2 linked regions of the Arabidopsis thaliana genome follow. The protein of the gene in region 1 interacts with the protein of each later gene in a pairwise test. Each region holds a gene or a part of one and is shown on either strand. Other genes may lie near its edges.

The links.
Region 2: the proteins of AT1G07160 (region 1) and AT2G04800 interact in a two-hybrid assay, tested with the Arabidopsis thaliana proteins (one large-scale study listed by BioGRID).

The regions. Positions count from the first base shown.
Region 1 is NC_003070.9:2,193,938-2,207,263, forward strand, and holds AT1G07160 (Protein phosphatase 2C family protein), read right to left. Parts: upstream 5,837-13,326; 5' UTR 5,742-5,836; coding exon 5,289-5,741; intron 4,983-5,288; coding exon 4,638-4,982; intron 4,563-4,637; coding exon 4,218-4,562; 3' UTR 3,917-4,217; downstream 1-3,916. Other genes in the region: MAPKKK13 (mitogen-activated protein kinase kinase kinase 13), read right to left, coding at 342-1,841; AT1G07170 (PHF5-like protein), read left to right, coding at 6,749-7,081; AT1G07175 (alternative NAD(P)H dehydrogenase), read left to right, coding at 8,445-8,535, 8,713-8,833, 9,134-9,185; NDA1 (alternative NAD(P)H dehydrogenase 1), read left to right, coding at 10,477-10,956, 11,242-11,455, 11,546-11,706, 11,797-11,862, 11,949-12,112, 12,206-12,320, 12,402-12,581, 12,684-12,836.
Region 2 is NC_003071.7:1,683,448-1,695,697, reverse strand, and holds AT2G04800 (uncharacterized protein), read left to right. Parts: upstream 1-7,758; 5' UTR 7,759-7,909; exon of another isoform or gene 7,910-8,081; 5' UTR 8,082-8,095; coding exon 8,096-8,332; 3' UTR 8,333-8,525; downstream 8,526-12,250. Other genes in the region: AT2G04830 (F-box only protein (DUF295)), read right to left, coding at 1-267; AT2G04810 (F-box only protein (DUF295)), read right to left, coding at 5,732-6,925.

The sequences.
Region 1 (13,326 bases):
TAGAGAAATCTTAATGATTTATAGCATAGAGATTAGAGAAAAATCTTAAAGATCGAAAAAAGAATATGATGATATGCTTGAGCTAAACTCTATGTAACGACTTCGTTCAGTTTGATACATAATCGTACATGCATAACCTTGGTCCTTCAGGCCTAGTCGAAACAAACAACCATCTTCAACCGGTCCGGTTCCCTCTATGATTCATTTAAATGCTCCAAAATCCGAATACTTATTAGGATGAATCAAAAGTCTTCTAAAGCATAAAACCAAAGTCTCTTTTGGCCTCTTGAGTCTTCCACCAGCTTACGAACCAAAACCATTTGTCGCAATATTTTTTCACATTAAAATACAACTATTTGGCTGTAAACGAGAGTTATCAATATAAGGCAATGGCTCGTAATTAAGACACTCGATCTCATCTCACCGCGTAAAAGATAGTTTTGTCCGATCCGAATCACATGTGCAAACAAACAAAACTTGAGGCTGTGATTAAAAGACAACGTTTCGAGTTTATTGCTTTGATTATACTGATACAACAAATACATAGTGAGAACAATTTCCCTAAAGATACATGTAGTATAAACCATAATTTCCATTAATAAATGTAAAACCACCACAAATTCATATGGCAGCGCCGCCGCCGATCCCCCGTTTCCAGGCGGTAAATTCTGAGACATAGAAACGTCAATTATCGCCGAGTCACCAGCCACGTCATCGTTTGGATCCGATGATGTGTTATATTCCGATTCTACCCTTGTGGATCCCGAATATTCCATTGTTGTCCCTTCCTCTTCCGAAGCGTGGCATCTAACTTCCACCCAACCATCTGACTCCCAAATTACTCCTCCGGTCGTCGCCAAATTACAAATTATTGCCTTCGCCGCGTCTTCGAATTCTGATCTCCCTACTTCCTCTTCTTCTTCTTCTAAGTCAAACCCCGAGTTGACCCAGTCAAGTACGCAACGCGGAGATGACTCAGTCGGAGATGAGTTGTGACACTGAGAGAGAAATGGATGCTGCAAAAGCTGATCGCAACTCCACCTCTGATTCGGGTCTCGCTTCAGACACTTTTCTAGGAAATCACGGCCGATTTCCGACAACTTCGAGGGGAAAACCGGTAACTCGTCAGAGAAACTGATTCGACTCAGCGAGTCAATTCCGTGGTCTTCCCAAGCGGGTTTCCCAGTGAACATCTCGATGATCGTGCAGCCGAGAGACCAGACGTCACTCTCCGGACCTTGGTACTCTCGTCTGATCACCTCCGGAGCCATCCAAAGCGGACTTCCACGTGGCGTGATCAGAGCCCTCGGTGTGTGGATTCTGAACGCCGACCCAAAATCGGCTAACTTGACCATGGAGCTTTGGCTGACGAGGATGTTCCTCGCCTTGACGTCGCAGTGAACGAATCCTTGAGAGTGTACGTGGCGGAGAGCAGAGACAAGACACGCCGTGTAACGCTGGAGCAGAGTCTCGTCTTCGATTTTTCCTCCGGCTCTGTGACTAGCCACGTCACCGTTTGGGAGATACTCTAAGTAGAGATTCCTAAACGTCGTCGTTCCTTCTTTCGAGACTCCGTCGCCGAGAAACTTCACGATGTAAGGGTGAGGCTTTAGCGAGCGGAAGACAGATATTTCGTTCTCGAGAGACTCTGATTGAGTGGGGAGACTCGTGGCGAGATCCACGGATTTCACGGCGAAAACTTCACCGTTGGTTTTGCTGATCGCCGTACTAACTGCACCGAAACAACCTCTGCCGATACACGCACCACGAACCCAAAAAGAAGATGGTGAGGATAACATTAAAGAAGAAGAACAAGTGTTTCTGATGCTCTGTTTCTCCATGTGTGCCAACTTTCATATGTCGTACTTGTGCAACACGAAGCTATTTATATGCGTGTTTTGGAACTGCAAAACAGAAAATGTGAACGTGAAATAAAGTTGCAATTTTTTTTGTTTCTGACATGGACTATTCTTGTACACTTGTCTTTTCGATTTGTAAAGTCTCATCTTTGTAAAATTTCCCACGTGGATATGTCATGTACAACACAAACTTTCGAGTCTATCATTAGATTTTTGAACAAATTATACCATGTTCGATGGTCGGTTTGGATTTTAACAATTTTAATTATATATACATCTATTGAAATCTAGACTTAATCCTTACAAATTTTTTACTTTTATGGAATGATTAGTCGTTTTGAAAAGAGAACAAATAAATCAGAAAAAGGATCATTTTAGAAATTAGAAGAAAATGTTTTATGTCACTCCTAATGACACTTGGAGAAGTTCTTGGGATGTTTTTAAGAAACAATGCACTTGCCCTGTCTCCTTAATCCTTATCCACCAAGACTCAAGTTGCGGTTTGATCTTGTCCGCTAATATTTTACTCAGCAAAGATAAAATCACACACACCCTCTAGCTTCACGCAATCGTTTTCGTTTTTATAACCTCAACATTTAAAAAATCGTCTCTTTACTTAAGTGATCGGATCACCGATCGTGGAGAAGACAAATGAACAAAAACGTGCCTATAGATTTGGAACGCTTGATTTATTGACTTATTTCTGGTATGTTTCTATTTGGTTGACCTGAAGACATGATCAGACATGGAATATACGGTAGTCGACGTACGTACAAATCATTATCAAGGATTCATGAATCCAAACCATGTCTTAGCCAATCATAAGCAATGGACATAAATTAATTTATATTCGTCAAACAATTAACATAAAGAAGGTGAGGGTGTACAGTAACAGAATATATACGCGAAGTAGATGATATCCGAATAAATTATCGGAGTTGTCAAAGGGGTTGGAGATGAAGGAAGAGGTTGCCGAAAGGGGTTGGGTTTTAAAAATGGGGGTCCATTTGGAAACTTACGTGGCATGAAGCGGTTGGCTCACGTTCTTTGACATATTAACGAGTTGTCTGAACACACATATTGGGAATTGACGTGCTTGATCAACCTCCACGCATAGTGAAAATATTATATTAGTTTTTATTCTTTGTTTGGTTGGGATCATGAAGGAAGCACAAGAATTTACTCAAAAACGTTATCCAAAGATATCACGGAGATCGAGTTGAAGATGGAAGGTAGAAAATAAAAGATAGGGTTTTAACTTTTAATTGAGGAGATCGTTGGTTGGGAATTAATCTTGGGATGGTTAATAGCCAGATCACTACAATAGTATCTTTCTTGGGATTTATAGTGGGTTGGTAGTGGTAGAAAGATCAAAGTTTTGATAACATATCAATTTAGTGTTTTGAAACTACGATTGAAGTTTGGTCAAAGCTTGCTAATGATTTAGCTAACCATTAGAATTCGAACTTTTATGCATGCACTATAATCTTTCTTTGATCTTTGAATTATTTCAAAATACAGAAACCTTTCTTCCATTAATTCCAAAAGAAAAAAAATGCCGCCGCAACTAAATTATATATGTACTTTGTTTGTTGTTTCTCTGGCCAAGCTTTGACCTTCCGCGAACGTGAAGTGCTATTTGAACGGTCCACCACTGCTTCCATATCCTCTTAGGGCAACTAATTTCACCTTTTATATATGTGTGGGTGAATAAATTACTAGAAATGTCCAAAACATAAGATATTATTTGAAGATTTTTAGGACCCATACCATATTTTCCAATTTGCATGTCTAGGAGAATCCACTTGGAAAACAACTTAAGAAAATGACATTGCACTATGTACTTAATACCGTACTAAACTTTCAGACTTTTCAATATTTTATAGGATTAAGGTAATGGCTAAGAGCCTAAGATATTTATGAACTAACGTAGTTAAGAAATACGCGTCCATATAAACGTAAAAGTAAAAAACTTTCAAAACATGAATTTTATGAACTCTTGAAACAAACCAGTACTAGCCTACACATTTAAGTCGATCCACATTATCTCATAAAAGAGTAGTAATATATAATGTATTGAGTGGTAAAGTACTCACATACAACTTACAAGCCTTAACGAGTTTTTACATAGAAGACCTATAAGGCTATAAGGATTATCAATAGAGAGTAAAGACAGTCTAAGATGGTATACACAAGTATCATAACAGCTCAAATGACTAAATGAAGTTAAAAACGAATAAAAGAATATGTGAATCATTCACAGTGAATGCTTAGAAAACAATAAAAAATAAAATGTAAGAAATTAAGAATGACTTCAGACTCTAACGTTGTTATTCTGTCTCTACATTTCTCCTATGGTCAGAAGAGGTGGCACAACTGAATCAACATCACACTAATATCGTCCAAGGAGCCTCGTGATACAGAGAGGTCAACGAGCTTCTTGCAAGCCAGCAATGGCTTCCGTTTCTGATCGGTCCCTTTGCAAAATGGTCGAGCTATGTCTACTGCCTCCTGATTACTAACCTTGTCCCATAGACCATCTGATGCTAAGATCAAGAACTCGTGTTGGGGATTGATTCGGAGAATATTTATCTCTGGTTCAGATATTATCCATTGTTTGAGATGAGCATCTCCTATTCCTCTAGATACCGCTAATGATCCTTGAATTCTCCAAACACTATTGAATGTATCCACATAACCGCCCTGCAGGATTATCGTAATCAGAACCATGTAATCATGATAAAACCTAACAGTAACTTCTTTTGCAAGAATTCTTACCGAGCTCTCAATTCTGTTTCGTTCATCATCTCTGGAAGGGCGGTGGTCAGAAGTCAAGGCCTCCGCGAATCCTCCAACGCTCAAAACAGCACGGCAGTCACCAGCATTGGCCACCACAAGATTTCCGTCGCTGATCAGAGCCGTGACACAGCACGAGCCGCCCTTAACGTTTTTTTCCTTGAGAAACTCAGAATCAGTCGCTAGATAACCACGTTTTACAGCTTCTTCAATCTTTGACTCGTTCCTCCCACCAACTATCTCGCCAAGAATGTTACTACACAAGTTCTTAGCCGCAAACTCAGCCGCTGTTGGTCCTCCGTGACCATCATAGACTCCGAATATTGCCTGCGGTTATAAAAAAGCTAAAAATGTTAAATCCCCATTTTGTAAGTCACTGGATCTATCTTTTTTTTTTTTCTTGAACACTAGTCATTGGTTCTATCTAATCAAGAACTACTCATACAATTTGTCATATATATGATTCACTGAATTTTCTTATAATCTTTAGAACTTCTAATTTGATTCATTGAGTCAACAACACAGCATAAATAAATTTTAAGTTATATATTACCCATCTTCAAATCGCAATTCATACTAATTAAGCAATAATCAGTAAATAAACTCGAAATTACGGAAGAAAATTGAAATTACCTGTTTGGGATCTCCTTGAAGATTAGTGATGGCAGAGAAACGATCCTCCATAGCTTCTCTTTTACCTCTCTTGCAATAAACAGAGTAACCATCACCTTCCCTCTCCACTGCTCTACTCTCCTCCCTCGGCGTATCTGCATTCGATATAGGAGCTGCAATACCAACCGGAGCCACCGGTATATCAAGCGTCGTCGGTCGTTTCCTCTTCAGAATGCTTCCCGGACCAGAGTCCGATCCAAACCCTAGTTTAGCCGGCGGTTTCAGGAGACGGAGGCAGAACGGAGATGTGGGAGACGCGGCGGAAGGAGAAGTAGAAGAAACGGGAGGATTGAGATGGGAAAGAGACAGGGTTAGGGTTTCATGTGCCGGAGAAGTGTTCAACGGTTTGTTGCAGAAAAGAGACGAAGACGGAGAGAACACCGGTGAGTTGCAAACGGCAACTGAAGACGACATCGTTTCGTAGAAAACTTAAAAGTTTCCTTTTTCTGATGATTGATTTGATTGTTAGTCTTCTAGACGTTTGTGTTTCTCTGTTTAGTGTCAACGAGAGAGAAGAAAGAGGCTTGAATATATAATATAAGACCTGGACAAGTCTTTCTCTGTTTCTCTGTGGCCGTTGCTTCTTCTTCTTCTTCCAGGTCAAACGTTACCACTCTCATCTTTCTCTTTGACTTTTTCAAATCATGAATCCACCGCCACAGTCCATTTTTTCTGCTTTTTCTTTGTCAACTGCGATTTTCCAGAAATTAAATGACTTTGGGAAGATAAAAAGTCAAATAAGGCCGAAATAGGAAAGAAATCAACACCTAAAATTAAAAAGCCCATCAGGAAAGCCTTTAATGAGATAGCCCATATTAAGTCGGACCTACATGGATCTTTAGAAACCCGACCCGGGTCGTTTTATTTGCAGAGCCATCTCTTGTTCGGATCGGCGGCTCGGAGATCAGGGATCGCTAGTTCAGACACCTTCTCTTCTTCTTCGTTCTCCTTCGAGGTTAGTTTCGATAATATTTTCCTTTGTTGTTTTTTAACTTTGATTTATGCGTGATAGATGTTACTGATTCAGAAATTTCGTTCCGTGTTCATGTTTCTCTGAATTCTTAGGGTTTAGCGTTGTCTATGCTTATTCTTTTGCGCCGCTCCGTTTTGGGCTCGAACAGCTTTCTCTTGTTTATCTGTGTTCGATTCAGCGAATTGATGGTTTCCATTGTTGCTTCGTTTCTTGTTCACTTTTCAGTGAACTTCAAGAATTTACCGTCGTTCCATTGATTTAGCTAGAATTGGATATAGAAAAGTTTCAGCTTGAGTGGAACTGTAAGTAGAATAACTGCTGCCTGATAGGTGTTTGTTGAAATGCCTCTGAGAAACAAAAATTGTGTTTTCTTTACTTTGTTAACCAATGTTATTTGCAGGTCAAAATCTTCTTAATCGAGGAAGAGCAAGATCTTCTTTAAGCAGTCATGGCCAAGCATCATCCTGATTTGATCATGTGCCGGAAACAACCTGGCATTGCTATTGGGCGACTGTGCGAGAAGTGTGATGGAAAATGCGTCATATGTGATTCCTATGTCCGCCCGTGTACTCTGGTTAGGATTTGCGATGAATGCAACTATGGTTCGTTCCAAGGGCGGTGTGTCATATGCGGAGGAGTTGGAATCTCGGATGCTTACTACTGCAAAGAGTGTACACAACAGGAGAAAGATAGAGATGGTTGTCCTAAGATAGTCAATCTTGGCAGTGCCAAAACTGATCTGTTCTATGAACGTAAGAAATATGGATTCAAAAAACGATAGTAGTTTGTTGTTACTTGAGCTATTGATCTTTTATTTATTGATGCTAGGAAAGTGTCTGTACTTGTCTTGTTTGTGTTAAGGAAATTTTATCCGGTGAAGTAATTTAAGACATGGGTTCAAACTAAGGATTATGGTTTGTTGATTTAGTCAGCCTTATTACCATTGCTATGGTTGGTTACTGTTTCTTAAGTGGTTGTCAATTATGTGATTGTTAGCGTTTGGTTGTCCATAAATATGATTCAGTTGGTGGATTAGGCCTCGGAAGTTTTCTGGAGAAACACCGTCCCTCTGTGTTTGCCAATGAATTATCTGACTCACAAAATTAACGTAATCTTGTGTATAAATCAACTTCATTCTTTTAAGTTTTAACAGCATTACCACTTGTGAATTCAGCTATGATTGAATACATAGCTGGGCGATAACTATAATTTTCTAGATAAATGTCAACTTAAAACTTTAAAGAATACGCAATAACTCTGACTCTCTAACGTCGACAAAAAGGTTATCATCCATTACATAAAAAACCCCACATGATCGTCAGAATTCAGAAATATTCGTTTTCAAAGTAAGGAAACCCCAAAATCCCTTTTTTGGGCCAAAAATATAGACGTTGACTTTTTATATCGGACGGTGCCTGTAAGTCAACTGCCCATGCATGTTCGCTTCGTTTATGTGTTAACTGTTAACTTAACAGTGTGGAATCCACAATTTGTCTGCAATAGTCAACTCCTATCTCCAATAAGACAATGACACGTGTTAAACATCAGCTACTTTATTTCGAAACAGATCCTGTATTTCTAGCCGAATTAATTCAATCATAATCTAAATAATTGCTATTTACGAGTCAAAAAATATTTAGACGAAAATTTGATATTGTAGCTAGCCATTAAGAAAAACGTTAATTTGTAAGAAACGTTTACGCTGATGATTTATTCAGGGAAGACCACTGAAACAATGAAACACAAGATTTATATAGTGATGTAAAATGTTGTAATAGACAGACTTTTAATATCAAAATATTTCAAACCACATGCCTTTGCAGGTATCTACACCAATCTTTAATCAAAATGTTTTAAATTTTGTTGTGCCCTAATTCCTTATAAATGTATTTTGCTCGAATTTGGGTTAGACATTCAAAATGATATGTTTGTAGGAATGCTTCCATGTCAATAAATTGCACTATTCCGGTTATGTAGCACTGTCCGAAATATATATATTAAAGTAGTTTGAAAAATAAGGTTAATTAATCTTTATTATTAATGAATACATTTCCATTTCACGTTTATAAAAGGAGAGGGTTACGAGAGATATAGTTGAATAGAGAAGAGAAAGAGGAAGAGAAAAAGGGGAAAGAGAAGAGAAGATGGTTTTTTGTTATGCAATTCGGCTGTGTTTATGCATTTTCTTGGCACTTTCAATCGTCTCTTCGGCTCGACTAACTTTTTCATTTTCAGGTAAGAGAAATCGAGCTCATCATCCTATCTACATACAGAAAAGATCAAATTTTGGAGTTGTATATAAACTCCTCATTCGAATTTTGAAATCCATAATAGTATATCGTTGGATTAATTACTTTCGTAATTATCTAAGTTTTAGCTTCGTAATATATGTTAAACCTGCATGCATGACAGAAAACGAAAAGATGATGGTGAGGGGTAGATCATTGATGGTGAGCACCAACGACTACGGCGAGCCATCGGCCAACGCCAAACACAATCCACCTGGAAGGCGTCGTGGAGGAGGTCGGAGAGGGTAAATAAATAAAAAGATAAAAATAAAAAAATATGGTTTTGGATACATTTAAGATCTTTAATTTTACTCATTTTCTCTCAGTATGTCATCTCTTTATATACTGAACAATAAAAACCTTCCATCAAATAATACGTTCTGATACATTAATAAATTAGTAATGAACACCTAGACTCGTATCTTCTAATCTCAATGTTTAATGAATGGTAAAAATAATTATTTAATTTTCCGTGGTCAACAATGCATAATCTTTTTATTTATTTTGTCTTCTTACCTTTCAAAAATTTCTCAACTTGTCAACAGAAAAAATAAAAATCCCAATAACAAAGGTGACAACCGAAACAGAAGCACATGACCACAATGCTAAAGATGGATAAAAAAAATAGAGCAAAAAGAAAGACAAAAATTTCAGTAGTCAAGAGTATAATTAAGCACGTATAATTTGCAAAATTTTTATTTTATTTTTATGAACCGTTTGGTGTATATATATAATCCTTGCTTTCCAGTTTTGATGATCTTTTTGTGCTACTTTGTATGCGGTTAAAGATTGTTGTAATAGGCAAAGAAATCTTAAGTAATGCCTCAGCTGTTAAACGTTGTGATCTCCTCTGTTCAAAATATTTCAAGTTGATCTTACTTATGGTAATGCTCTACTCGTGATTGTGAGTTTGAACTAGTCACTGTTAAGGTTTTCTTTATAATTGATTGTCAAGCTAATGAATAAGTTTGTGAATGAGGTTTTAGAAAGATGCATGATTGGAAGTTGTGTTTAGTAAATGCTTCTCATTACAACTAGAATTTACTATAGAATCATAGAACGGCCATAACCAAACTTCATGAGTCCGGTGATATTATTGGAATAGAATTCACATAATTTTCATACTTTTGTTACTTAGACTGTCTACATAATGCCACATAATGAAAATTTGAATTAGAAAACTTGAATACTAAATCTACAGATATTTCAAGTGACTTCTAATGTATGACAATAAGACATTAAGACCCCTTCCATATCATGACCATTTCAAACTCGTGTCAATATGTAACCCATTTATCGTGGGCCATAAACCCAAAATAATAAATCATGTATATAAACGGGCTATTGGGCCATAAACTAGTGATAATAAGCTTTGGGGCGACGATCTCTGGATACGTCACCCCTCGCGATACAATTACAACCGATCAAGGTCAGCGAATACTCCGACATCCTTTTCTTGCGGCCCACATCGGTCTTTAGTGAATCACATGTTTTTTCTATTGTCGTTTCTTGCGCATCAAGTTCTGCTGAGGTTTCTTGTTATTTTATTTTTGAAATTTTTCAACACCTTTAACTTATCTCGATTTTGTTTACCACTTAAAAAACGCCCAACCAATGGCATACACTGAAAATGTTTTCTAAACATTTAATATTTCTGTGGCTACCAAAAAGAAATCAAGAGTTATTTTCCATTTATTCTGGGTGAAAGAGAAACAGAGTGCCACCTGTCATTTCCTAATCTGGCACGTAGGTTTTTCTCATACGTATTACAGTGAATAATACAGTATACCAAAGGCGGCTCGTAGCAGAGTTTGTTCGATTCTCTTAACCACATTAGGTTTGGAGTATTATTTGCTTCTCTCGATTGAAGAAGAGTACCTAAAGAATCATGTTGTGGATCAAAAACCTAGCAAGAATCTCGCAGACCACTTCTTCGTCTGTCGGAAACGTGTTCAGAAACCCCGAATCCTACACTCTCTCGTCCCGTTTCTGCACCGCTCTGCAAAAGCAACAAGTAACCGACACGGTTCAAGCAAAGGAGGATGTAGTTAATGCGTTGGAGCCACAACGTTACGACGGTTTGGCTCCGACGAAAGAGGGAGAGAAGCCGAGAGTTTTGGTTCTCGGGTCGGGTTGGGCGGGTTGTCGGGTATTAAAAGGGATCGATACTAGTATTTACGACGTCGTTTGTGTCTCTCCTAGGAACCACATGGTCTTCACTCCTCTCTTGGCTTCTACTTGCGTTGGTACGCTTGAGTTTAGGTCTGTTGCTGAACCAATCTCTCGTATCCAACCGGCGATTTCACGAGAACCCGGTTCTTATTACTTCCTTGCTAATTGCTCCAAACTTGATGCTGATAATCATGAGGTAATTGCTAATTGGATATTAATATTGGTGAAGTTCTTGAAATTGAGGAAAAGTCTTGCAGATGTATCTATTTTTGTAGTTTTATGTTTGGATTTTTCTACAATTTGTGGATGTAGAAGTAGTTTCGTTTAGACATTGTTTCAAACGCTAATTTTGCGTTCACATTTAGGTATATCAAAATTTCCAAATTGTAAACGCAAACGCGACTTTTGTGTTTGTGATGAAAGCAGAGTGCTTTGGACTGTTGTATATGATATGTGTGAATCATGCTCTTGGTTTAAACAGGTGCATTGTGAGACTGTAACTGAGGGGTCTAGCACATTGAAGCCATGGAAGTTCAAGATAGCTTATGACAAACTGGTACTAGCTTGTGGTGCAGAAGCATCCACATTTGGAATTAATGGCGTCTTAGAAAACGCCATTTTCCTCCGTGAGGTTCACCACGCTCAGGAGATCCGTAGGAAGCTTCTTCTTAACCTCATGCTCTCTGAAGTTCCAGGTATATATAGTAAACAACACATTCATCATCCACTTATTTATTTACCTTTGAACCAAAACTAATATCATTACACGCAAATTTATATATTAGGCATAGGTGAAGATGAGAAGAAGAGGCTGTTGCATTGCGTTGTGGTTGGAGGTGGGCCAACTGGTGTTGAGTTTAGTGGTGAATTGAGTGATTTCATCATGAAAGATGTTCGTCAGAGATATTCTCATGTGAAAGACGACATTCGTGTTACTCTGATTGAGGTTTTCTTAGCTTATAACTTCATTGATAAAAACTACTATATATATGATCTGTTTCATAAATATGAAATTTTGTCCATTGTTTCTTTCCAGGCAAGGGATATACTTTCTTCTTTTGACGATCGGCTAAGGCACTATGCAATCAAGCAGTTAAACAAGGTTATTATAGTTAATCCATATGCAAACTTCATATGCTTTAAATTGAGAGAATTTGGATTTTGAAAATCTGCTAGTTTTGACTTCAGTCTGGAGTGAAGCTTGTGCGTGGGATTGTGAAAGAAGTGAAGCCTCAGAAGCTAATCCTTGATGATGGCACTGAAGTTCCTTACGGTCCCTTAGTCTGGTCAACTGGTGTTGGTCCATCTTCATTTGTGAGGTCTCTTGATTTTCCTAAAGATCCAGGTGGAAGGTATGTTAGTTCCAATGTCACAACAGAAAGCTTGTTCTGTTTTTTTCCCTCCAAAAAAACATTTTCTGATCTTGGATCACTCTGTTTCGATAGGATTGGTATTGATGAGTGGATGCGTGTACCTTCTGTACAAGACGTGTTTGCAATTGGTGACTGTAGCGGTTATCTCGAGAGCACAGGGAAATCAACACTTCCTGCACTTGCACAGGTCTCTAATGTTGTAAAAGAATCTATTTACTTTTTTTCTATACTCGGAGTCTTAACATACAAGTCTCTTTGATCAATGAAGGTGGCTGAGAGAGAAGGCAAATACTTGGCGAATCTGTTTAACGTGATGGGAAAAGCTGGAGGAGGACGGGCCAATAGCGCAAAGGAAATGGAGCTTGGGGAACCATTTGTGTATAAACATCTCGGAAGTATGGCTACTATTGGGAGATACAAAGCTCTCGTTGATCTCCGTGAGAGCAAGGTATGTTTAAAAGAAAAGGCTCTCATTCTCTTTCACTTAAAAATCCCTCAAAACACAATAATAGTAGATAGCTAAACTCGAGGAGGGAGTTTTCTTGTGCAGGAAGGGAAAGGAATATCAATGGCAGGTTTTCTGAGCTGGTTCATATGGAGGTCTGCTTATCTGACTCGAGTCGTCAGCTGGAGAAACCGTTTCTACGTTGCTATCAATTGGCTCACTACCTTTGTCTTTGGTCGGGACATTAGCCGAATCTGATCCATATCCCCTCCACTTCGCCACGTGCTTCTTCTTCTCTATGTCTCTATCTTGTTCACTTTATGACCTCTAATCAGTTGAAATCATATGTTGTTTACTTGGAACAATTCAATGAAATTCAGCATTTTAGAAAGACAGGGTATTGACTTTGAAATTGAATCATCTGGTTTGACTGATAGTCAATTTAAATGGTATTAACTTTTGACTAAGCACAGTTAGTTTTCAACATTTTTAAAATTGAACAATTAAATTGAAAAAACCTATAAGCTATGGTTAAAGATTGATTAGTAAAAAATGTTTGCTTTTGCATAAGAGTAGAAAAAGTTTTATGGGTTTAATATTTTTTGTATCAAACATTTGAAATATTTCTTGTATATCTGTAAAATTATTTTAAAATATCTATTATAAGATTTATATGAGTTTTCCACTTCCACATGATTCATGTGATACAGAAAGTGCATCTCAAAACTTCTAGAGTTTCCCTACCAAA
Region 2 (12,250 bases), on another chromosome or scaffold:
ATTAACGGAAAAATAGATCTTCTTAGGCCATTCGATCTTACTTGTGGCAATATCGAAGACACCGCAATTCGATACATGATCTTTATAATCTGGCCAATCTTTATGATCTGGCCAAACATCTTCGTCGTCGACGAAATAGATTGAATCACTCTTGATTCCGTGACCAAGATCTTTAAGAGCGAGAGGTACTGTAACCCCACGACCAAAAATCAACATCTCATCTCCAATAGAGTAAACTCTTTCCCACTTGTAACTCTCAAGATTCATCTTAAAGATGTAAAACAAAAGTTTCTCTTCATTTTTCACTATTTCCTTTAAGCTCAAGACTATAAGTACTTCTCCTGATCTCTGAATCGCTATTTTCCTCCCCCAAACGGATTCCGAAGGCTCCCCAACGAAGTTATTCTCCTGAATCGCTATTCTCCTGACCTCTCGTCATGGCATTCTAGGCTTGGTCATCCATCTTTACCAATTCTTAATTCTGTTGTCTCTCAATTTTCGTTACCACTTTCAAATTCCCAGCAAAAACAATGGTCGTGTTCCGATTGTCTTATCAATAAAAGTCACAAATTACCTCCACTCAACCTCTTGAATATCTTTATACCGATGTGTGGTCTTCTCCCATTATGTCAATGGATTCCTACAAGTATTATCTGGTAATTGTCGATCACTTTACTAGATATACATGGTTATATCCACTGAAGCAAAAATCGGAAGTCAAAGAAGTGTTTGTTGCTTTCAAGGCATTAGTGGAAAACCGGTTTCAGTGTAGAATCCGCACCCTATATTCTGATAATGGTGGTGAATTTGTGGCCATGCGATCGTTTTTGACAACACACGGCATCTCTCATCTTACAACACCACCACACACTCCCGAACACAACGGGATATCGGAGAGAAAGCATCGCCATATTGTTGAGACTGGCCTTACTCTTCTCAGTCATGCCTCTGTTCCGAAATCATATTGGCCTTGATAGAGATCGCCCCACACATGTCTGCCGCTTGAACAAAGCTCTCTATGGTCTAAAACAGGCGCCTCGGGCATGGTATCAAGAACTCCGAAATTATCTCCTTGCTGCTGGCTTTACGAACTCCTTGGCTGACACATCGTTATTCATTTACAAGCGGGCAAATTCATATCTTTATGTCTTGGTGTATGTCGATGACATAATCATTACCGGAGATGCTTCGCTTGTCAAAAACTTTAATGTTTCTCTTGCAGATCGATTCTCCTTAAAGGATCTTGGTGCATTGAGCTATTTCTTGGGTATTGAGGCAACACGCACTAAGAAAGGCCTACACTTGATGCAAAGGAAATATATAACAGATCTTTTGGCTAAGACGCACATGCTAGATGCAAAACCAATCTCTACGCCAATGGCTACAACACCGAAGCTTTCACTACACTCTGGTACGATTCTCGACGATGCCAAAGAATACCGCATGATTATTGGGAGTCTTCAATATTTGTCTTTCACTCGCCCAGACATTGCTTTCGTGGTGAATCGTCTCTCCCAGTTCATGCATAAACCAACCGATGAACATTGGCAGGCCGCAAAACGAGTTTTGCGATATCTTGCGGGAACGAAATCACATGGTATTTTCCTTCGATCTGATGCTCCACTCACAGTTCATTCGTTTTCAGATGCGGATTGGGCAGGAGATCTCGGAGACGGCCTCTCGACCAATGCATATATTGTTTACTTTGGTGGCAGTCCCATTTCTTGGTCATCAAAGAAACAACGAAGATTCTCGCGGTCATCTACGGAGGCCGAATACCGTGCAGTAGCCAACACTGCCTCCGAACTTCAGTGGATATGTTCTCTCCTCTCAGAAATGGGGATCTCCTTACCTGTGGCACCAGTTGTTTACTGTGACAACATGGGTGCTACTTATCTTTGCGCCAATCCGGTGTTCCATTCAAAAATGAAACATGTAGCTCTTGATTATCACTTTGTTAGAGGTAACATTCAGACTGGAGCTCTTCGCGTTTCTCATCTCTCAACAAAAGATCAATTAGCCGATGCACTCACCAAACCGCTTCATCGGCCACGATTCCAAGAGCTCAATTACAAGATTGGAGTCAAGGAACTGCCTCCATCTTGAGGGGGTGTGTAAAGGAGAAGTGTAGATTAAGGACATAAGTGTAATTAGTTATGCATTAAGCCCTAATGTGGAACCTATATATATTGTAAATCATTCTATTAATGAATTCATTCTGCTCACAATTATAAACGGATGATTCGAATACGGGTTTTCTTCCTCTATAGGGGAACCTTCAGAGAAATAAAAACTCTTGATGTAATAATCACTTGTGAACAGATAAAGCTTACTCTTCTCACAAGCCATATCCAAAACATCCATATTTTTTCCATTGAGATTCATATTAAACCAGAAACCATTTCCTTTCTTGTGTGAGAACAAGTACTTTTGTTTGAATGTCCAAGCAACAACATAATCTCTTGTTGTCTCGTTTATCCACAAAACAGCTAACGAGTTTTTCCAATAATCTGTCTCATCATCATACGACACATAATCCTTACCAGAAGGCCCGACCATATATCCATACTCTTGAGTTTTTGTTTCCTCCTTGGAAGCTTACTTTATCGCCACGGATCTTCAACTCCATTGATGTAAGATTGATCTTTTCCTTCGTAAACAAGTTAAAAATATAGAATTTGAGACGACGATCAACCATCAAACCCCAATATCCAGAGCTAGCCATACAATAGCTTGTCTTTGAGAGTCCGGCGACTTTTGTTTTCCTTTGTTTGGTCTTAGAATCACCATAATGTATGATCCACAATGGACATCGAGGCCTTTTCGAGCATGTTTTCCAAACGGAATACCAATCTGAGCAAACGGTTTTTGCTCAGTGAGAATCAACAGGGCTCTTCAAGATTTTATTAATATCTTGCGTAAAAGATCGGGGTAAAGCTTGGACCAATCACTATTTCTAGATATGTCCATGGTTTCGGCTACCTCACCGATCGCACTAGGGTTTTCAATTATATAAGCATGAAATAAGACCAAAGGGTTTTGGTTTTCATTTATTATACCAAGTAATACCTTCGTCTAAGTTACGTTTGGAACATAACACTATGCATTTTTTAGCAAATTGTTAAAAGATAGCGGCCAATAAAAGAAAGTAAAAATATAAACCATAACAAAGTATTGAATTAATGATTTAAAAAGTAATTTAAAATCTAACTTTCTTGAGAACATTATAAGCATTAGATTCTTTAATGACTTTAAAGGACTTTAGAGGATGTCTTTAATTTAATACACACAAAACAAAATCTCTTGGTTTTAGTCTTTTAGATGAGATTTAGAAGGACTTTACTACAAATCATAACAATAATAATAAAATGATTATTTTAAAAATCCAAATAAGATCATAAGAGATCACCAACGACGGAAATAAACTAATGCATGACAAGTTAGTTACACTATTTAATGTCATGCCAAAACGACAAGGTAAAGTTCTAAGACCATCTCCAATGGTGAGAGCCTTCTCATGGGCTCTCTACCATTCTTTAATATTAACTAGATGAACATTCATGCTACGCATGGGTTTTTGTTTTTAAAGTTGTCAAAAAAATTATGATTATAGTTTTTTTTGTTGATTTTGATCTTTATTTTATGTTTGTGTTATTATGTAATTAATAAATTCATATCTATTTTATATAATTATAAGTTTTTATGATTAAATTCATCTATAACTCGAAATATCACTTTTACTACTATATGGATATTTATATATCTATTATCTTAATTTTTCACTATCATGAACACATAAAACAATAATATATGATATATTGATCCAATGTATGTCGTTATGTTACTTATGTCGTTTGAAACTTGTCTAACTTAATTGTAACAAACAATTCTTTATTTCATATATTCCTTCGTCATCTAGTACACCAACCACATCCTAATATGATAGTAATTTAAGTCAACACTTTAGATCTCATCCCTTAAATATAGTCATATAGAGTCTCATTTATTTTATTTTTTTTTGGTATTTTTAACGTCTCAAAGGACCATTACGTGAAAAAATTGTATGTCAATGTTACCAAGTTATTAGAACGCACAAAAATGAAAAGAAAGAAGATCATATGATAAATCATATTTACAAAACGTAATAATTAGAAAATATCCAAGTAAGATTACTAAATTATTATGAGATTAGGTAGCAAGTATTTAAACAACAACAAAAGTAAATCTACAACACAGGTAAATTATTAGCCATTATGGATTAATGACTATTAATAAACAAAATTCAATAAAATAAGTTGAGTATAATAAAAATAGTGTTTGATGCATATTTATGATTTTTTATCTATTAATATTTTAGAAAAATTATTTAAGAGTGAGATTAATGGAGGGTTTAACACAACAAAAACTTTTGATTTTTCCTCAAATAGTTTTGTTAATCTTTTTATTTCATTAATGTAGAATGACACATGTCATTTTCTTGTGTGATGATGTGTTACTCATATGGAGAGACTTCGTCAACTTTCATATATATGATTGGAAAAATTTATAAAAAGAGAGCTTGTATGTATTTATTTTTGAAACAAAAATCATTATCCAACGGTAGTATACAAATTGTTTTCCACAATCTCTAAATCTCAAAAAAAAAAATCACTACCTTGCTAAAGAAACAATGTTAACTAGTTTTTTTTCTCTTAAGAAGTATAAAAGTCGAAAAGAACATATATCCAAGAACACAAAGAACAAGTCGAAAAGTCAACACACCTTCCTCTTAAGAAGTGCAGAAGCACAAATCCAAGAGACTCTTGATCAGTTCATCGACTTTGCTCAGTGAAAGAGAAACCAAAATATATGAGCAAAGACGGTTTACTTCACATAAGGAGATAAAAAAATTGGCAGTATTCACTAGTTCAGGAACATATAAGATTCTTAATGCAGTACCAATAAATATCACAATCAATTCAGGAACATATAAAACTTCTCTTGCAACAAAAAAATAACAACCACCTCATATTCAACACTAGACCAGACACACTCTGTTTTTCAAATCTCAACGCATCAATCAACTCTAAATAATTTGTATAAACCGTTGGCGAAGTTTTGTTGAAAGATGAAAGATAACATATAATACTTGTGAAATCATGAAACTTTTGTGTCAAAGCTGAAAATAAATAAAAGAGCACGAAGATGGTTCTTCTATATATATCTACATTAACTCTTACTACCACACAGAGGAGAGGCGAAAGTAAGATAGCAAAGAGGAGCTTAAGAAGAAAAACAAGCAATGAAGCTTTAGATCATTGCAACCTTACACAAATTTCTAATCATCGTTGTAATCCTTCTCTTATTCTATATCCATCATATGTTGTTCTTATTTCTGTTAATGATCACCCATCTTATCAGTTTTTTTGTTCTCTATTGTTCAATGAAATCAGAACCTACAACTTTTATGCATCCCTATGACAAATCCGGTGCCGTTTTAACGTCTAGGTGATAATCAATAAATGGTCCATCACCTCTCTAAAGATTGGAAGGGTCAAGTAAATATATCCTTAAACTTTCTATTAAATAATTTTCGAATGAGATTACCATCAAAACCATATAACTAATAGAATTCAAAATATCAATAAACTGAAAAACATTAGAATATAGAAGAATAAATAGAGTTCAAAAATCATTGAATAACACTAGAAATTTTAATAAAATTATATCAGCTTCCTACATTCAATAAAGCCTAATAAGCAACTCCCCCAACAAACCACTGATTTTGATTAATGAAACAATAGATTTTCTTAGGCCATTCGATCTTACTTGTGGCAATATCGAAGAAACCGCAATTTGAAACACGATGCTCATGTTCTTGATGATCTGGCCAAACATCTTCGCCGACGAAATAGATTGAATTACTCTTTATCCCATCATCAAGATCTTCAAGAGCAAGAGCTGTAACCCCACGACCAAAAATCAACATCTCATCTCCAATACAATAAACTCTTTCCCACTTGCGACTCTCAAGATTCATCTTAAAGATGTAAAACAAAAGTTTCTCTTCATTTTGCACTTTTTTTTTCAAGCTCAAGACTATCAGTACCTCTCCTGATCTCCGAATCACTATCTTCCTCTTCCAAACGTATTCCGACGGATCCTCAACGAAGTTAAACGGATACAGGTTTTGTTCTCCTGTTAAAAAATCTCCATAGAAATTGAAAATCTTGATGTGATGATCCATTGTCAACAAATAAAGCTTATTGTTCTCACAAGCCATATCAAACAAAACCAAACTTTTCCCATTATGATTCAGATTACACCAAGAATAATCTCCTTTTATGTATGAGAACAAGTATTGTCGCATAAAAGTCCAAGCAACTGCATAATCTCCTGTTGTCTCGTCTACCCACAGAACAGCTAATGATTTTTTCCATTCAACGGCTTCATAGTCATACGGCACTATATCATCCTTACGAGAAGGCCCGACCAAGTATCCAAAATTGTAATTGTTGCTTTTAGATTTGAAGCTTACTTGCCCGCCACGTATTTTTGACTCCATCGATGGAAGATCGATCCTTTCCTTCGTCAACAAGTTATAAATATAGAATTTGAGACAACGATCAACCATCAGGAGCCAGTTTCCGGAGCTAGCCATACAATAGCTGTTGTAGGAGAATCCCATGAGTTTTCTGTTGCCGTCTCCTACGGTGGGAGAATCGCCTTGGTGAATTATCCTCAGTGGACATAGAGGCCTCTTCACGCATGTTTTCCAAACGGAATACCAATTCGAGCAAACGATTTTTGCGCGGTGAGAATCAACAGGGCTCCTTAAGGTTTCGTATATCTTCCGCAAAACATCGGGACAAAGCTTGGACCAATCACTATTTCTAGACACTTTTTGTCTCTTATTCTTTCTCATCAAGCCGTTACACGTCTCCATGTCTTCAGACTACTTTACCAATCATGCGAGGGGTTTTCTGTTCTTTATATATACTAGGGTTTTGTATCAAATACACTAGGGTTTTTGCGTTTTAGTTTTCCTCTTTTTTTTTTTTGTAAATGATATGTTTTTATTTTACTATATATTATGATCGTAGCATCCAATATACAAAAGCTCTTGATGGAAATTACCGAGGCATTTATTTTACTATATATAACAAATTAAAATATCAAATATATATACAAAAGCTCTTGGTCGTTTTTTTTTCTTCTTTTTTGGTACAACATTCAGAAGCTACAAACTCAAATACGGAGTTGGCGTATACATGGACCAAGGATCCAATAGAAACATGTATAGTATTAATTGAGAAATACAATGTGAATAGCAATAATTATTTTTAAATAAATTACTGAAATTGACAGTGAAAAAAAAAAGAAACTACTGAAACAGCAAATTGAATACCCTCATCAAAGGGTGAAATTGTTAGAAACATAATTGAAGAATCGTGGAAGAGATCACATGGTTATGATTTGATCTTTAATACAACTTGGTGTTAATGATTTTGATTTTCAATATAGAAAAGATTATTGTCGCTTATTGAACCACAATTAACAAATTACGTTACTAATTGTATTTTACATATACTCTAAAATCATCAAATAGAAGATGTAGTTAGTTAAAATTGTCAAATAGAAGATGTAGTTAGTTACTAAATTCTAATCTGGACAAAAATAAAGATGTGGTTCATACGTGTGAGAAGAGACACTACCATTCTTTTATTACATTTCGTTGTAGTGAGGCTTTTTCTGTTCAGTCTTAAAATACAAATTAAACTGTCCAGTGTCCACTACACTAATCACTTCATGCTACGGCCCGCTAATTAATGTTTAAATATGTATTGATCGGATCAGAAAGAATATTTGTATGATCAAAAAAAAATCTGTTCTCTTCCTCACAGCTTTTCTCTCAGATCTGTTTGTTCGGGTTTATTTTTGCTCTCTTGCTTAGTTCTGTTTTTCACTCAACTACAATTCTTTCTTAAGTTTCTATGGTTAGATGAACTTAGACTGTTATTGTTTTTGGAAAAATCCGTAGATCTATCCGTCTCAATACTTTGATAAACTAAAATCTGTTTCTTTTTCTTATAAAATTGCAGATTTTGTATCACACATGGGATCTAAACCTAGCTCGCTGGCTGATGAAGTAGCCATTATTGTTGAGCAAGTAGACAAGGTTATGGGGATGGTTTTTTGGTGCCCCCTCTACTGGGAATCTATAGAACTCCTTGCAAAAGATGAGGTTTCACGAGCCATATTTTATGGACTAACAGAAGGATGTAAGCTTGATTATCTTAAATACAAGACAAAAGCTTCCATGGTCCCAGAAATGACACGGTTTTATAGTTAAAAGCTTAAAACATCTATGTTTTTATGTTTTTGGATTTGTTTTTGTGAAAGATGTTGTGCTTGAGTTTGATATTGTCGAATATGTTTCATGTTCATTGTTTATATACGAGTGCTTGTCTACTTGAATATGATGTGTTGTATGGATTATAAACTTGGATTTGATTTGGTTTGAATCTGATCTCTATGACGTAGCGGAAGCTTCTAGGATAGAATACATAAGTAATATCGAGTATCAATGGATCTCAAGCAGGAAAATCGTAGCTCGGAATTCTAATGTTATTGGAGTTCAATGGATTCCAATAAACAAAGACTTCAAAGACTTCGTTTGAGAATACTCTTCTCACTGCTTATCGAAAGCTCTTTCATTTTATTAATCAAATCAACAACTAAATACAATAGGAGGCCAAAAAAGGCTATATATAATAAAAGCATAAAATCCTAAAATCCATAGAATATTGTAAAATAATAATAATACTGAATTAAAAGATAAAAATAATAGATATTTGGAAATACATCAGGTCTCGTCTGCCAAGAATTTTTTTTTCCTTCAATATATCTTGTATCTTCGTCCTCGAATCTTGTATCTTCGCTGCATCGCTCTACCTCTAACATTTTCATACTTCACATACCGAAATGACAAATCATGGTATACAATAATCTCACTAACCATATCAAAATCTATTTTGTGATCCTATTGCCTTTTTCACTTTGCTCTAGAGGTCTCTTTGGACAACACTATAAATGGTGCTTTAATGCAGGTGTTCCTATTATTAATTTTCTCCAAACCTTTTTGGCAAGAAGGGCTTGTTTGAAGCAATGGAGATCACGAAACCTGATTCCACACTATTCCTTAGGCAACAAGCTTAAGGATTCTAATTCAAAAATACTTTTAGTTCATCAATATAATTTTGTGAAGAACATACACTTAAAAAAATAAGTGGATCAAAACTTAGATATTCGCTTTATGTCTTGAACAAAATAAATATTTCATACTTTGACCAGATTCAGAACAAGAAAGATATGTTCGGTTTTTATCAAAAATATGTTGGAAAAAATGATCAAAAACTAAAAATCTATCACAAAAAATTTCTTACTGATTTTCGAGAATCTAAAATTGAGGGACAAAATCCTTTAAAAACCTATCGGATAGAGTCATTTCTGACTGATTTGTTGTCAAAAATTGGTTTTTTCTTTCGGTAAAAACTTCTTGAATGAAAGACAACGTTGTAATTTTCTTTAACATGATTAAATTCGCCATTAGCCACCCCGAAATGTGAGGTTACATATCTTATAACTGAAAATTGCCTAGATTGACTCAAAACTAGGCAATAATAACTAAAATGACTCTCATTAATGATGGATAAATATACTAACACAAATTTTGTGTAAAAAGACCAATTGACCCTAGATGTCGATATTTAATGTTTTAGTGATAAATATGGTAATTTCTCTAATAAGTCTGTCATTACAAGGAAAAAAAATTGTCACCACTGTAAATATTAATATAACAAAAAAATATGCAAAAAAAACCATAATTGATTTTTGAAGTTATAGAATTTTTTTATATATTTGGGTTGACTATATATATTTACGGTATAGTTTTTAGTTGTAAGGTTTAGTGTTTAGGATGTAAAAATTAGTTTTGAATATTAAATTAAGTTTTAGATTTGTAGTATTTTTGAAAAATAAAATTCATTATAGTATTGTTTTTGGAAAAACTCATTTTAGTGGTATTTAAAAGAATTTCTAAAAACAATTGACAAAAAAAAATTAAATCTGTCATAATATGATTTTGAAAATAAAAAAACTGTTACAATAGTTAGTATTATTCTATTAAAAAAATCATGGAAACAGAAAACTATAAATCGGCCACCATAAGGATTTCAAATTACAAATCTGTCGTAACATAAAATATTTTAAAGGTCATTCAGGAATTTATTTTATTCTTTATTAAACCTGCCATCAAATGACAGATTTATGGTAATATAAATTTATCTGTCACAACATAAAACAACTCTGTCATAACATAAAACATTATATTTTTAGAAAACAAATCTCCCATCAAACGACAGATATTGTGTAATATTACAAGAATCTGTTATAACATAAAACAAGTCTGTCATAACATTAAAAAAATTGGTTATCGTTAGACGTCACTCTAGTAATTAGTTTTTTGACAACAAATCTGTTACAATGTGCCAGATTGTTTTAACAAAATTATAAATCTGCCATCACTTATCGTTAAAAAACATCCACAAAAAAATAACTCTGTCAAATTATATGAAATTTATGGTTGAATAAATTAAAAATATGTCAATCAAATTAAATCTGCTATAATTTATAAATCTGTTATCACTATCTTCTAAGAAGTCTGTCAACCAAAAAGGTCTGCCATAAAAAAATCTGTCGCAGTTAAAAAAGTCTGTAGAATAAGAATAAATCTACCATAACTAAACGATAGACTTTTATAAAGTTGCTGGAATTTTTTTTAAAGGATAATTTTATATTTATTTTATTTTTAACACATAAAAAAAATGTATTTAAAAAAAAAAAAAACTAATTTAACCCCAATATTTTATAAGATATTCTAATAATTAATCTCATTATTTGGGTTAATCTAGTTTTTTTCCTATCTTAGAATCCAGTGGTATTTCATGTCTAATCATAATCTTCACGAATATAATGGTTTTAACTTTAATAAACAATCATGAAACGTTAGCAAATGAAAACATCTTAGTTAATTAATAGAAATTTCAACAACAAAGTCCAAAGCATCCAGCACAATCTAGATTCTAGACTGTTTGTAAATTCACCAATCATTTTAAGAGAAAATTAACAAACGTCAATCGCGATGATGGGATATTTCATTGAGCAAACCGCACTGAGAACATCCAAATCCTAATTTTATTAGTCAGCACTACAACAAATTTATTTTGTAACTAATTAAATTGGCAATGATTATTAAAAAAGGGTCGGTTCATGCTGTGTCGCACTAAACGTGGACATGAGTATTTTCCACATTGTTGTCGTCTTCTTGGTACTACTCTCCGCGTTAGCTAAACTCATTTTTGACGACCATTCACCATTTGGACCAAGTTCTTTGTATGTTAAATAGTAGTTAATAAATCAGGCTATATCAATTCTTTAATCATCTACAGTATATTTATGCACGCTTTTGAATTAACATATAGGTTGTGACACAACACTGGTTTGGTATTATAACAAAATACTAGACTTATAAATCTCGGTCAGTCATATCACATCAAGTTTATTATATAGGCCCTATTTTTTTCTCACGCGCTGTGTGATCAGATTCAGCGATCAAAAAAGTAGTTGTTTAACACACAATTACGTTGAAAGTTTGTAAAGAGTTATATGGAGAGGAGTCGCTCAATTCTAAAACAGCGACCTATAAGAAATATACACGCGTCGCCAAAAATAACAGCGACTCAAAATTTTCACTAGTGACGTCGCCGACGTCCATACTGAACGATTATTTTTGTATCTCCGTTATAATTTTTGCCTTCGTCGGAGTCATTGTTGCTGTCGTAGCGATTAATAAACGAACAGGCCATAGTATTAACCTCAGGACTAGTGAAAATTTTGTGTCATAGTTCTGTTAAATAATGTAAAATACTAAGCCATAAGTAAAAGTAGTTTATCCCAACTCTTTTTCTTAATAATGGATATATCCTAATGTTTGTTGTGTATGATATATATTTATATGGTGGATGAGATTTCCCTAATATTATGTGGTCATAAATCATCTAAATCATAAATCATCTAACTCATAAATCATTATCAAATTCAAGAATCTCCAAGTTTTGTATATATGACAACCACTAGCATATATATCAGTTTAAAGATCAAAAAGCAGATGAGTAAGAGAAAAAGTTAAATATTCCTAGCTAAGATATGT